Diceros bicornis minor: one gene and its partner. The protein of the gene in region 2 interacts with the protein of the main gene of each other region in a biochemical or structural test. Links are inferred from orthologs where the notes say so. Each region holds a gene or a part of one and is shown on either strand. Other genes may lie near its edges.

What was found. The genes of interacting proteins can lie anywhere in the genome.
Region 1: the proteins of BMP7 (region 2) and BMPR1B form a complex in vitro, tested with the Homo sapiens proteins (2 studies listed by BioGRID). The link is inferred for Diceros bicornis minor from reciprocal best matches to the Homo sapiens genes BMP7 and BMPR1B.

The regions. Positions count from the first base shown.
Region 1 is NC_080747.1:78,225,794-78,233,786, reverse strand, and holds the start of BMPR1B (bone morphogenetic protein receptor type-1B), read right to left. Parts: upstream 3,020-7,993; 5' UTR 2,868-3,019; coding exon 2,831-2,867; intron 1-2,830. UniProt on the Homo sapiens protein: On ligand binding, forms a receptor complex consisting of two type II and two type I transmembrane serine/threonine kinases.
Region 2 is NC_080758.1:6,231,657-6,238,615, reverse strand, and holds the start of BMP7 (bone morphogenetic protein 7), read right to left. Parts: upstream 3,021-6,959; 5' UTR 2,557-3,020; coding exon 2,139-2,556; intron 1-2,138. UniProt on the Homo sapiens protein: Growth factor of the TGF-beta superfamily that plays important role in various biological processes, including embryogenesis, hematopoiesis, neurogenesis and skeletal morphogenesis.

The sequences.
Region 1 (7,993 bases), on a different chromosome or scaffold from region 2:
TTAAAGCAGTACTTCTAGAAAAAAATTCAGGTCTTTCACTTCATTTGTATGACAACACAGCAAGAGATGGATCCACCCAGTGTTGTGGATCCATCAGAAAGATTAATCAGAAGATTAATCAGAAAGTAGACTGAGATCTCAACACTTTGAACTGTTTTTAGATTACCAAGATTAAAATGTAACTGGTCTGCCATTATGCACAATAATATAGGTTTTTTTGCACATAACTCCAAACTAAGAAATTTATAAAAGAATTTCACATACCAATTAGAATGACTTGCAGATACCAATATAAAAAAAACCCACACATTTAATCATCAGATGAGACTTTTTCCCGCTGGAGCTATGGAAAAAAAGCAAACGTGAAGTCTATATTATCTAATTCCTACGTTTTCTCGCCACAAACAGCACCGCCTTCTGACTTCCCAATTTTGTTAATAAAATAACCAACATTCCAGAGACACTGAGCATCAACACTTCAGAGCTACCCTTAACATCAGTCTCCTTCATCTTCTGTATCCAAAGAGCTGCCAAATACAATGGATTCCACATACTCAACGTGCCAGGAATTATCCCTTTCTTTCCATTACTTCTGCCGCAATGCAGTTCAGCCCTTTATTATCTGTGCAACTTCCGAATGCATTCCAGTTCTTCCTAAGCAGAGTTCCAACTGCTCTCCATAAAGCCCAGTTCCAAGTTACTGCTTTTCAACCTTGAATGGTTCCCCTCTGCCTAGCAAATTAAGTGAACACTTCTTGACCTGACATTTAAGACTCATTACATGGCAGTTTTCTTCAGGCACAACCTATTTAAGGCATACAATTCTGAAACTTCGTTTCTCCTCCAGTTCCTAGGGTCTTATCTCCCTATCTTTACTCAAGCCATTTCCGCCAACTGAGTGCCTCTTGCCCCCATCTCCTCTCACCAAAAAAGCGGCTTGATGCTTTAATAATGACCTCAAACATTGGTTCCTTCATAATGATTTTATTTTTCTCCATCCACCTCTGACCCTGCCCTTCTAAGAACCCTCACAGAATGCCTGTGTCTTGTATAGTTTCTATGTCTTGAATATTGTTTATTTTTACTTTTGCATTATGCCATTAGTAATTCATTGGCTCCATGAGGAACAGAAAATGGGCCACAGCTATTTCTCATCTAGAGGCACCTAATGATCTGATCATAGTAATAGTGTCAGTATTCACTGAATTTAACTGAAAATGTTAATACATTAATGCAGGTGTGGAGACAAATCAGTTCATCAGTGACCCATAGTGAGTGAAGGAACTGGTCCGCCCATGAGAGGCCCTCACTGCCCCTTGCTCGTGCACTACATCTGTGACCTGAACTAGCTGTGTCCAGATCATCTGAGTTTACTAGTTATTGTCAGTGAAACTCAAGAACTTGGGATGAATGGATTACATACAAATAACTTTCAAGCAAAGAAAGTAAATATTAGGTGAATTTTGAGATAGGAAATATCTTTTTAAAAGTAACTCCTATTATTCTACCACAGGAAAAATTATCCTTTTATTAAGTTTCAAAATAAAACAAAATGATTTAAACTAAACATATTTTTTTAAAAGCCAACACATAAGTTAATTTGAGGTCATCTGTTTTCTAAATTTTATCTACTAGATTTTCATCTTATGAACACCATTCAAAGATACTATTTAAAACTATTTTTTTAAACTGTAAAAAAGCAAATGTAGCCATCACACGCACACACACACACAAACTATAAATCAATATAACACTGTAAGATTCCATGAAAATAGTGATAGCTTTAAAAAATGCAACCCAATGTATAGCCAAATAACTCACGCAACTCAGCATGCATTGCTGACTTTGGATATGATCACTAAATTTAACAAGGTGTTCTTGAGAGAAACAAAATAAGACAGGTCCCCGGAGCATCCATTCAAAATGGCAGATGCATCTGAACTCCAGGGCACACTCCTCTAGGCTAATATTATGGTTGGCCTTAAATAAAAATTGTAAAATTTAAATATCTTTAATTTAAGTAATACTTCAGAATGCAGGAAAACTCATTGCTGAAGTATGGCTAGCAAGCACAACAGAAAAATTAGAGCCATATAAGGCCTAAATATGATGTAATTTTTCTTTATGTATAAGACCAAAAAGAGTTTCATACACAATTTGCAAAATCTGTAAAACATCTGTTCAGAAGAAAAAGTATTAAATGTCCTGCAGCACAATCTGGAGTAGCACACCTATTTTTCATAAACAGTATTTCACAGTCATTCATCACTGAGTCACACATATCAAAGCTGTCACTTTCAAAAAAGAAAAAGAAATTTGTGCCTTGCAGGTAATCTTTGCTGCATGAAATTGGATTGCTGCAAATTACCATTCACTGAATTCTTATAAAGCCCTGATCACTGCCTGTCACCGTTTGGCACAATCCAATAAAAGTTATTTCTCACCAACACCTCCCACCATCACCACCACCCATTCAGCCTTAAAAACCCACTTGGTTCTTTACCTTATCTTTCTGAATCGATGGTTAAAGTCCTTATGAATATCCAATCTCTCATTAAAATTCCCCCAGTACCATGTCCAAGTTTCGAAGCACTTCTGTGCTTTTCTTTACATGTGAATTTGACATGGATTTAGAATATTAAGACATCTGCTCTGAGTTGTTTTTCTAACACTAGGTAAAAGATTGGAGCTGATCTGTGAAACTATTCTCACATAATTTTTTTAACTACTGACAACATTTAGGATATAGCTGGCTAAGGTTAAGAAGCCAGTGTGTTATTAAAAAAACAACAGCAAAATGAACTGATTTATATTGGGACAGACTGCTTACCTTTGGCGTCATTAATTCTTAGCTTCCCTGTAGTCATATGTTGTTTCTTAATTATAGATTAACAAGAAAATTAATGGGGAAATAATCACTCTTCATCATTCCTATGTCCATTTCTTTCTCAGAACTTGCATCTTTAAAAAAATTTATTTCTGGGTTAAAAAAGGAGAGTGGTAATCACAGATTGTGAAATTGACTAAAAGTATATATGACATTTATGCTGTTTTATGTATGGTACTGCAGGAATCCACATTCCTAGAGTCTGGATAGCAGGAGGATAGGTCTTTATGAATAGGAAGAGGGAGATTGATAAGTTTCTGATCTAACAGACATGAGTTCCACTTCTTGGAAGCAGAGAAAAAAGGTGATCCAACAGATATTTTGTAGAGTCCAATACAAACTCTTCATTCAATAGGCAAGGAAACTAAGGTCTAAGCAGACAGGAGATTTTACTTCTAGGAAAGTAAACTAAATTAGGAAAGTGCAGGCAAAAGTACCAAAGCCTTTGATATGTCAGGCAAAATTCATTCAGTGGCAATGATTTATTCAAACTAACTTGCACATAAAGAAGTTTTATTGGCTCCCATAACTAAAAAGTTAAGAATAAGCCTAAAGTAAGGTATGAGCTTCAGGTAAGGCATGATCCAACAGTTCAACAGAATAGCCAAGGATCCATTTCTCCACTATACCATTTTAGCTCATTATTTCAACACAGGGGCCAGCAATTCTTGAGGCTAAATACTCCCCTTGCTCAAGTTCACCAAAAAAGAAAGCATTGTTGTTCTAAAACACTCAGTGAAAGCTCTGTGATTCACTTTGATTGAATCGGCTTAGGTCACATACCCACCCAGCACACATCACTAGAGCCAGAAGGATGAAATACCCTATTGTCTTGATCTCAACTGCATGCAGGAGGTGAAGTCAGCTTCCCTGGAAATTCATGGATACTCAGAAGGAAACCATGGACCATTGGTAGGAGAGAAGCTGGCAAATGAACGTTGGGGAGGCAGCCAAATAGTCCACCCCATCAGTTAAGTCTGAGATACATTCTGATCCTATATCTGAGACTTTGCCTCTGCCCTTTTTTATAGTCTGTTTTGAGAGATTATGGTGGGATGAACAATATATTTACAATGAAAAGAAGCAAAATGCCACTAAGTGTCCCTATTCCAATTAAGGTAGCAGTGGACTAGGTCTCCCAAAAGGCTCCTACATCTTCCTTATCTCCTCCGAGTTTTGTAATGTTGAGAAAGAAAAACGTAAAGCAAAAAATATATATATTATTATTCCCCAATTTATGAGTACACTAAGTTTTGCCTAGAAATATTAGAGCAAGAAGACACTATATAAGGAAATATTTCAGCTGATAGGATGATTTCAGTAATGCTAAAGCTCCAACTTTACCTTGCTTGTCCCAGAAAAAGTAAAGACAAGTAACTACAGTTGCCAAATAGGAGTAATACACATGCTTCAAGTAAATGTTTTAAACGCCTAAGGGCAGGGAGGAAAGGAAAATTATTCTCAGAAGGTAAAGGAATTTCTTCCAAAAATGAAAGAGAATACTACAGTCCCTAAAACAGCGTATGCTAGTCAAGACATAACATCCCTAAACTGGATCCCATAATAACTGGAAACAACTGAGTGCCGAAGGCAACCCCCACTCAAGAGTAGTTTACTTCTCATGTTATTTATCTCCATACTGTAGATCTTCCTAAGGCTCAGTCCAAGTATGAGCCAGACCTTTCAGAAGAGCCTGGTTAAGGAGATCTAGAATCCAAATTATCTTGGAAATGAAAGATCATCTCATCTAGTAGATTTCAAACTGCCTAGGGGTAGGGGCAAACAAAGCAAAAGAAGTTTTATAACCACTCCCTCTTCCCACTATTACATCTCCAAGAAGAACATGTCTGATTTTATCTATTCTACAAAAATAGCTTCTGGAAAAGACTTCATTTGAACAAAAAGCTCTGCGTCTGAAAGAATAGTTAACCTAAACTTATTTTTCTTTTTTCATATTCTTTTTCTTTTCTTTTTTTAAATGCTATTTTATTGTGGTAAGACGCTTAACCTGAGAACTACCCTCTTAACAAATTTTAAGTGTATGACACAGCATTGTTGACTAGAGGTGCAATGTTGTACAGCAGATCCCTAGAATTTACTCACCTTGCTTAACTGAAATTTTGTGCCTGTTGATTAGTAACTCCCTATTTCCCCCTGCACCCAACCCCTGGCAACCACCATTCTACTCTTTGATTCTACAAATTTGACTATTTTAAATATCCCATGTAAGTGGAATCATGCAGTATTTCTCTTTCTCTAACTAGCTTATCTCATTTAACATAATGTCCTCAAGGTTCACCCATATTGTCACATATTGCAGAATTTCCTTCTTTTTAAAGGCTGAATGGTATTCCATTGTATGTATACACCACATTTTCTTTATCCATTCATCTGTTGATGAACATTTAGTTTTTTTCCGTATCTTGGCTATTATGAATAGTTCTGCAATGAACATGGGTGTGCTAATACCTTTTTGAGATCCTTACTGCAATTCTTTGGATAAATATCCACAAGTGGGATGGCTGGATCATATGGTAGGTCTATTTTTAATTTGTGAGCAGCCTCCATACCGTTTTCCACAGTGGCTCCACCATTTTGCATTCCCACCAACAGTATGCAAGGGTTCCAATTTCTCCACATCCTTGCCAACACTTGTCTTTTGTTTTTTGACAACAGCCATCCTGATAGGTATGAGGTGATATCGCATTGTGGTTTTGATTTGCTTTTTCCCAATGACTAGTGACATTGAGCACTTTTTTTATATACCTATTGGCCATGTATGTATGTCTTCTTTGGAGAAATATCCAAGTCCTTAGCCTATTTTTCAATTCGGGTATTAGGGGTTTTTTTGCTATTGACTTGTAGGAGTTTTTTATATATTTTGGAGATCAACTCTTATCAGATACATGGTTTGGCAAATATTTTCTCCCATTCTGTAGGCTGCCTTTTTACTCTGTTGTTTCCTTTGCTGTGCAGAAGCTTTTCAGTTTGATGTAGTTCTACTTGTTTATTTATTTATTTATTTTTTTGCTGCCAGTGCTTTTTGTGGCATATCAATGAAAGCATTGCCAAGATTAATGTCATGAAGCTTTTCTCCTATGTATTCCTCCAGAAGTTATACAGTTTCAGGGTTATATTTAAGACCTTAATCCAATTTGAGTTGATTTTTGTGTATAATGTAAGACAAGGGTCCAAATTCATTCTTTTGCATGTGGATGTCCAGTTTTTCCAACACCTAAATTCATTATTTTTCGATCTGAGAAACTGAAGTCCAAGAAGGTTCAATCATTTATCAGTATCCAGTCTAAATGCCAAACTTGAACTCAGAGCTCTGGAATTCATTCAACAATTATTATGCAACTACTACTAGTCATTACCCAGAGCAGTCTCTGTAAACCAGACGCCAATCACCAAAAAATGAACCAGAATATCTAAACGATCCCTTCAATTTCAATACTTCCTTTCATAAACATAAAACTTTAGATTACATAAGTCTGTTGCATTCATATCCCAACTCTGCTTACTTGCTATGTGACTGTGGGATAGTTTCTTAACTCTCTTAAGACTCAATTTTCTCATCTGCAAATAGTAATAACATAAAGCTACCTCCAAAGGATTAAAAGATAAAAAAAAAATATGAAGTGCATTTGGAACTGAGAAAATATTAAATATATGCTAACTGATAATATTAACTGAAAATAACTCAGAACACTACTATGTATTCTATTACTGATGTGGCACAGTTGTTTTTCATTTTCAAACTTCACCATCATGTATAAAAAATGCACAGAAGGATATTCAATAGAACAATTATAAAGCTAATGAAGAAATAAGCTGTATGAGATCAATCATACACAAGGATATTTTGCATGACTGTAAGCATTTGAGAGACCCGCATTGGAAAATGAGTCAATGAAATAGCACTTTTGATGTGAGTTCCATTGGGATATAAGAATCTAATGGCAGCACAGGAACAGTGGTGAAAACTATGCAATTTGGCCCTTCTGAATTCAAAATAAAGGGAAAATTTTAGTTCAGCCTAGAGAAGAAATGTTGGCAATGGCTAAAAGATTGCGTAATTTGGGGTTTGAATAACAAATGACAAATTTAGGCTCATAGTAGAAGGTGTAAAGGTAGCTTAACATTTATCTTTAACAGATAGTAATAAGGTTGGTTTTATGGATCATACTATTGATTCTTATTCAAAATAAAGATATATCAAGGGGTTATCCAGAGATGAAATCTGGCTCTGAGGAGTAATTTTTCATATACTGGGTAATAGAAGGCTGACTAAAATTATTTCACATATAAAGATAATTTTAATATATATTATAATTGAGATAAAAATTTCTTGGAGTCACAGTGATGAGGAAATTACATCAAGAGCTCCTCTCTGCTTTAGTTTTTGCAATCTACAACCAACTTTGAAAGAGAAAATATGATAGTTGTATTAATAAAAGACTATTAGCAGACTGTTGAAATCACTTTTTGTAGTTTGCAAACCCGAACTAAGTTTGCACTTAATATAATGTTTTACTTGTGGTTTGCTCTATACATTACACATTGCTATTGTATTAACAGTATTAACAGAATAGCATATAAGTATCACATACCCACACCACACATAATAAATACCCATATGTTACACATACATATAAGAAACATGCTTAAGGAGAATTATAATTTCTTTAAGAATTGCTAATTCAAAATTATTTATTTGAAATATGAGAATCTTTTTTTTTAACATCAGCATATTTTGGTTACAAAAAAGGACTCTATGTTTCTCCTTCACCAATTTGCAAAAGGGTATTTCAAAATTCACAAAAATCTCAATATGTCATTTAGTTTTAATGCTATCAACTTGCAAGGAGACAGGTTGTACTTATCTTCCTACAGAATACAGTATTTCTGCTCTAAGCCCACTAAAGTGTGGAAAATAATTCTGTTCACATGTTAACATTAACCAAGCTAAAAGCACTCTCTGAGGTCATACTGTACCTCAAAAATATCCTGTTTCAGCCTCTAGAGGAAAGACAGGTTCAGAATGCCAAGCAATCGGATTGCTTGAGACTTAGAAAAAACAATGTTAGGACCTGCTGAAGGAGT
Region 2 (6,959 bases):
GAGTTATGTTCCCGAAAGCAAGACCTGAGAAAGTCAGGACTGTCCCACAAAAGCCCAAAGCCAGCCCAACTGATTAAGAGGCTCAGACAAGCTGGTCTTTGTCCTTTCAAGATGAAAGAAATGGGTCTAACGGGGTTGAAAGGTGTGTGTACAGCCAGAGGAAAACCACCCAGCTGCCCCAAACAAGTCCCAGCTTGCTCCCCCCACCAAGAGGGGGCAAAGAGCCCTGCCCCCAGGTCGCCAGAGGCGGCCAGTCAGCAACCTGGTCCTTCTCTGGGGAGGGGGAACGCCCAGGTCTGACCATGCTGCTGGTCCATAAGAAGCAGCACTGGGTCTGCAGAGCCTTCCACAGAAGCCAGGGCTTACAAATACCTTTATAATGACCCCAGCCAGGCTCTGGAGGCCACCACCGGGACCTGCTGCATTCACTCGGAGTCCCGGGTACCCAACAGAACAGAAGATGCCATGAATCCCCGCCAGAGAAAGGGCCATGTTAAACCCTGGCTTCAGGATGGCTATAGAACTCTGCTTTAATTTACTTGTTCATATGTATGTATTTGGAATCTTTCCTTAGTTTCTGGTATAGGCCATAAATACACAAGGTAAAAAAAAAAAAAAAACATCACATGGATAGACAAAAGTGCAGACAAGGAAAGATCAGACCCCAGCTCCCAATCCCAAAGCCCCAGCCCCAGTTTCGCCCCACCACTCCCAGCCCTAAAATCTATTTCCAGTTCAAGGTGTCTTCTTCCAGTGGGAACGGATGATACACCAGCACATAAGTAACCTCACTGATCTGCACCTTGATTTTTCCACCTCATACATCTTGGAGATTGTTCTGAATCAGGACATATGGAGCCGCCTCCTTCTAAGAGGTTGCTTAGTATAATTTAAACTTTCTTGAAGTTATTTTGGCATCTAAACCTCCCACCCCCTTGCTCGCTGAAACTCGTTTCACTATTTGATTTTTGGCTATTATTAAGGACAGACAATGGCGTCCCGAGAACTCCAGGGACTTCATCAGGAGCCGGAGGCATTAAGGTTGATCCCCGCTTCCCGGCGCCCCCATCCACGCCCCAGGTGCCCAGCGGGGGACTCAGGATCATTATTCTCCTGTTGACCCAGCGCCCGTGGGCGTGAGTTTGCTGTCCTGACTTGGTTCGGATTTTCGCAGCAAGTTACACGCGTAGAATGAACGCGGCTCAGGAAACAGCGCTATCGGGGCGTGTTATCTCGGAAACCAAATATTTGATCATCAGCCCTACAGCGCGCCGCCGGGGGTTAGTTTGAGCAAGTCTGGTGAATGTGGGGGCACAGATGGAAGGGGAGCAACTTCGCCCCCGGGGCTGTCGCGGCTCCAGGCGGGAGCCGGGTCCCCCAGCCGCCCCCGGCGGCGTCTGCTTGGAGATCCCGCGCCACCCAATCGCCAAAAGCCGTGGTTTGCGCGCTACACGTGATAAACGCTGAAAATGGATTCTGCCCGTCCGGGACCTATCATTAAATATTTAAAATAGAAAGCTCGCAATGGCAACGTTTCTTCTCTAGCTCCAGCCAGGAGAGAGGAGAGCTAGGGGGGCGCCCGGCGGCCAGGAGAGGAGCCCGGAGGCGCTCAGGGCACGCAGCATGCTAAGGCGGGCGCACCGCGAGGGGACAGGTAGGGTTGCCAGGGCGGGGAAGGGGGCGCGACGCCCGCGATGCCAGGGCCAGGCGGGGCTGAGAGGGGCCCAGAAAGGGCGGGAAGGCAGCTCCACCGAGCAGGGCCTTTTAAATCCAGGTAGCGCGGGAGCGCCGGCCGGGCACAGCTCACATGACCCGGCCCCGCGCTTTGAACTGAGCCGCGGCCGGCCCGGCGCCTCCTACTCCAGGGGTGCGGCCGCCGACTTAACCCCGAGGGGCTTCGGACCAGTCCTGCTCTCCCCAAAACTCCCAGAGGCCAGATGAGCCCCGCCCGCCCTACCTGGGGCGCGCACAGCTGGGGGTCCACTAGGACCTGGGGTAGGAGACCCGTTGCCAGGCACTGCAGTTTCACAAATGGCCAGGAGTGGAAAGATCGGCGGGCTGGATGTAAGAAGTGGCTCCCTGTCCCAAAGCGCCTCCTGACCGAGACGCGCGCCCCCCCCCCCCCCGCCCTCACTCACCAAGGTTGACGAAGCTCATGACCATGTCTGCGTCGGTGAGGAAGTGGCTATCTTGCAGGCTGGCCAGAGGGGGGCCCTGGGTACTGAAGACGGCCTTGTAGGGGTAGGAGAAGCCCTGGCCGTCGGGCCCGCCGCTCTCCTCCACCGCCATGGCATTGTATAAGTCCAACATGAACATCGGCGCCGAGTTGTGCTTGCCCTGGAGATGGGGGCGCGGGCGATGGGGCAAGCCCAAGATGGAGAGGATCTCGCGCTGCATCTCCCGCCGCTCCTGGCTGCGGAGACGCCGGTGAATGAAGCTCGAGTGCACCTCGTTGTCCAGGCTGAAGTCGGCCAGGGCAGAGCGCAGCAGGAACAGGGGCGCCCAGAGCGCCACAAAGCTGTGAGGCGCAGCGGCGCGCAGCGAGCGCACGTGCATCGCGCCGGCTCTACGCGCGACCCGGGCTCGGGGCGCCGGGCGCCCGGGCCCGCGCCGCCCCAGGCGGCGGAGGGGGGCAGGCGGGCGGTCCACGCCGCTGGGTCACTTGCTGCAGACGGGCCCCGCTGCGCCCGCGCCGGACATGGCCCCTCCCCGGCCGGCTGCGCTCTGCCCGGACCCCAACCGCCGGCTCGGCGCTGGCCCCGGGGCCCCTCGCCCCGCACTCTCCCGGGCACACCGCGGGGCTTGGAAACCGGCGCGAGCGAGCGAGCGAGCAAGGAGGCGGGCGCGGGTGGGAGGAGCTGCCAGCAAACCTAGGAGCCGGGAGAGCGAGCGCCGGGGAGGCAGCGAGGCGGCGGGCGGGCGGGCGAGCGCTTCTTCTTCCCGCTCCTCTCGCGCTCTCGCCCTCGGGCGGCGGCGACCCACCCTCTTCCGAACTCCGGCGCCGAGAGCAGGGGCCCCGGGTCGCTCACCCAGCTCTGCGCGCCCTTGATCGCACGAGAGGCCGCCTCGGGAGCCCGGAGTGGTACGCGCTGGGGCCTGGGAGGAGGAGGAGGAGGAGGACGGGCTTCCAGGGGCCCCTCCCGCGCCCGCGGCCTCCCACCTGCCCTCGGCCCCGCCCTCCCCCCAGCTGCACCCAATGGGTTCATTCATTCCTTCCAGTGCGCTCCACAAATATTTACCGAGTGCCCACAGGGTGCCCAGCGCCCGGCCGGACGCCGCGGGGATGCGGAGGGAGGGATCTGAGCCGGCCCTGCCCTCTCCGGACTGCAGTCGAGACTGGGAAGGAGACCTGAGCGGGACCCGTGGGATTCAGGCTGCGGTGGAAGAAACTGGGGGAATGGGCAGGAATCGGAGAAGGCTTCCCGGAGGAGGTGACCCCCAAACCCCTCTCGTCCCTCTGCCCCCGCCCTTCACTCCAGCCACGCTGACCCCTCCGCGCCTCCCCGTGCTTGTGCAAGCTTGTCTTTGCACTTGCCGTTCTCTCTGCCTAGAACTCTCTCCACTCCCTTTATCCCTCTCCTCCATCAGTGCCTAGGCTGGCGACTCTCCCCTCCAGGTGCCACTCAGGTGCCACTTCCTCCCAGAGACCTTCCTGGACCAGCAAAGCTAAGGTCGCTTCCCCACCTCACCTCCCCCAGCTCCCGCTGCCCCGCCCCCACACACACACACACTTGTTTTATTCTCTTTAACGCCTCTCACAGTCTGCAATTACTGTTTGAGTCATCTGTGCCTTCTTTATTGTCTTGTTTCCCTCACTGGAAATGGAGCACCCTGGGGGCCCAGGCTGGCCTCCCTAGGTTGCCCTTCTAGCCGCAATGCCTAGGACCCAGGGCCTGGTAGCCCCTGTGGCTAGACAATCATTATTTATCCAATGAATACATGAAATTGTGTGAGCTGGAGAATTCCCTTCCACTTCCTCCCCTTTGGGTACCCGTTTAATTCCAACCACTTCTCAGCCTGAGACCAGACACCCCGGGCCCACCACCCCATACCTTCCCCATCAGCCCCTGCCTGGCAGTGTCTGAGGAGCGTGCAGCTGGGCTTGCACCCAGTTTGCATCCAGTTCACCTCTGAGGGTCTGTGCCTGGGACCCCCCCAGACAGTCAGCCGCTCCTTGCCTCCTTTATCCCGTCATTCAGAGCCCGGCTCATGTGGCGTGTGGACACAGGCACCCTAGACACCTCAGAACCTGCTGTGGGACTTGAGTGAATTACTGCTCTTCAGAACCTCGGTTTCTTCATCCGTAAAAATGGGAGTAAAATAACACTTCATCCAGAGCGGCAGTGAAGACCATGGGGTTAAAGTTCAACCTTCCTCCTTCCCCTCTGGTGCCCCCCCAGGAGGCAAACCCACAAACCAGTGGCTCCCTTCTGATGGGCTACATGGAGGATCGCCCCAGGGAGTTTGGGGACAGAGGTTTCCTTTGGGAGAGTCTGGCTAAGCCTCACTTGGGGGTGAGAGAAAGCTCCAAGAGCTGGTAAAGAGGAACCTGGTCTTCTAGTTTTCTAGAGCAGAGATGGCTCTGCCATGCGGCCCTTTGGGGGCTTTTGGACAAGTGGCAGCCTGAGGGGCCACATGGGTGGAGATAGGAGAGGCCAGAGGCCAGGCAGGGAGAAGAGAAATGCAAGGCTGCAAGGTCCTAGCCATTCATACCACATCCTCTGACCCTGTTATATGGCCCCAGGCTGCCAGACGGAAGAGGTCCTGAGCCCCCTCACCCAGAGCTGGGCCTCTGCCCACCGTCAGTCAAGGCACTCTGAAAACCCCTCCACCTGCCCTTCGTCTGTTAACTCCTTCCTTCAACAAAGGCTTGTGGGGTACTTCCTGGGTGTCAGGCAGGGGGGCTTCATGGGCCCAGGCGCCCGCACTCACTCAGAAGGGCCTCACACTTGGCTTAATGCTCTGCTGTTGCCGTCTTGCAATTCCTCATAATCTATGAACAAAGAGCCCCTGTTTTCATTTTGTACTGGGCCCTACAAACCATGTGGCCCATGCCGCTGCCAAGCACAGCGCCAGGCTGGAGGGTGCAGAGTGCGTGAGCCACACGGTGGCCTCCATCCCGAAGCTGGCCTTCAGGCCCGGGGAGACAAAGCAGGAACTTACACACGCTTTGGGGGCCGGAGGAGAGGCAGTGCTTGTCGGTCGAGCCACTCAGGGAAGGATGCGTGCACTCAACCACTGCAGCCAGGCAGAGGGAGCACACGGGAGGGTCAGGGAGGAAATGTGGAGGGTGGGAAACTAACACAGGGACCCACCGAAGCAGTCGGAGGAGCACTGGCTGGCCTCCAGTGTCCATCCGAGAGTGTACGACCCAGATCATTTTAGCCTGTGACAAGTGACAGGAGTAAATAAACAGGATGAGCTGAGGGAGGTGGGAGGGATATCTCCCGGGGATACGCCATTGACCTGAGTCCTGGAAGGATGGGAAAGAGAGGGCTTCCCAGGGAAAGGCAGCCCAGGTGGAGTGACCGGCAAGTGCACAGGCCCTGCAGAGTGAGCCACAGACACCGGGCTGTGTCTCCCCAGAGCTGCCCGTGTCCCCAGGGCTGGCCTTCCAGGGGCAGAGCCACTGCACTGCTCTGCTACCTCCGACGTCAGCTGAGATGAAGGAGGTTGCTTTCTTCCCAGGTCTAAAATGCTGCTCCTCCGCAGCAGCCTTCTCTAGTTTTCAATCCACTCTCAAATCTTTTGGGGGGATTTTAACAGGCAAGTGAGGCTTGGGGTGGGGGCAGCAGGTATTGGTGCTACTCATTTACATATGAAAACAACAGATTGGTCAGCATCTACCCTGTCCCCCCTCAGCCATGGCAGGGCCCTGAAGCGAGGATCATTTACCCCTCTGTGCATCTCACCTGAGCCCGCCTGAGCCTGGCACACAGCAGGTGCTCAATAAGTACCTGTTGAATGAATAATGATAAGCACAGCCAATAGCTACAGAGCAGGGTGGACAGAGGGCTGACTGTGCAGGTGCCGGGCTAAGGCATCTCCCAGGCTGCTCACCCACCACCCTTCCTCTGGGATGCCATCTTTTCTCGTGCAAGATGAAGAGACAGTGTGCTCTCCATATCCAGGACCTGGAAGAGATAAGCTTCCCTCTGAACTCCCACAACCCCCTCTTTAGCCTTATCTTTCCTGTGATCCATGCTGGGCGGGGGGGGTTTTGATTTTCCCTGCTTCCTCCCCCAAAGGAGACCCCAAGACTGCACCAGGCCTTCAGTGAGTGCTTGCTTGATTGCTGAATGAATGAATGCAAACAAACATGCAGGCAAGGGATGTCTGGCTGGGAGTACGTCAGATGCTGGTCTGGGAGCCGAGGCTACCAGCAAAGGCTTCGAGATTGTTTGGAGGAAGCCTCGGGTGAGAGCTAGCAGCCTGGACTCCGGAAGCCTGCCCACCTGGTTTCACACCCCAGCTCTGCTACTTCCAGTTGTGTACCCGGGGCGGGGGGGTAACCTCTCTGCGCCTCGGTTCACCCAGCTGTATAATGGGGGAACAATAGCGCCTGCCTCCTAGGGTTGCTATGAGGATTCGGAAGTTAACTCAATTCACATAACAGACTTCGCAAGGTGCCTGGAGCACAGAGAAACCATTTGATAAATGTCAGTTACCATCTGGATTAAAAGAAAATTATGTTAACAGGAAAGCCTCCTGAGTTTAAAAATAACAACGTAACTTTTCACGATGGTCTGCTTTTTGGCCAAGCAGAGAAAAGCAAATTTATCCTGACTTTGAGAGATCCAGAGCAGGAGCGAGAGAGCGAGAGCACAAGGGAGCCGAGCGGGAGAGTGGTGTTAGAGAGAAAGGATAATCCTTGCATTCCGATCCTCTTGTTGTCCCCCAGCCCCCCTGCCACGCCATCCAGGCCCAGGAACATCCCAGGGCCTATCTTGTTTCCCCAG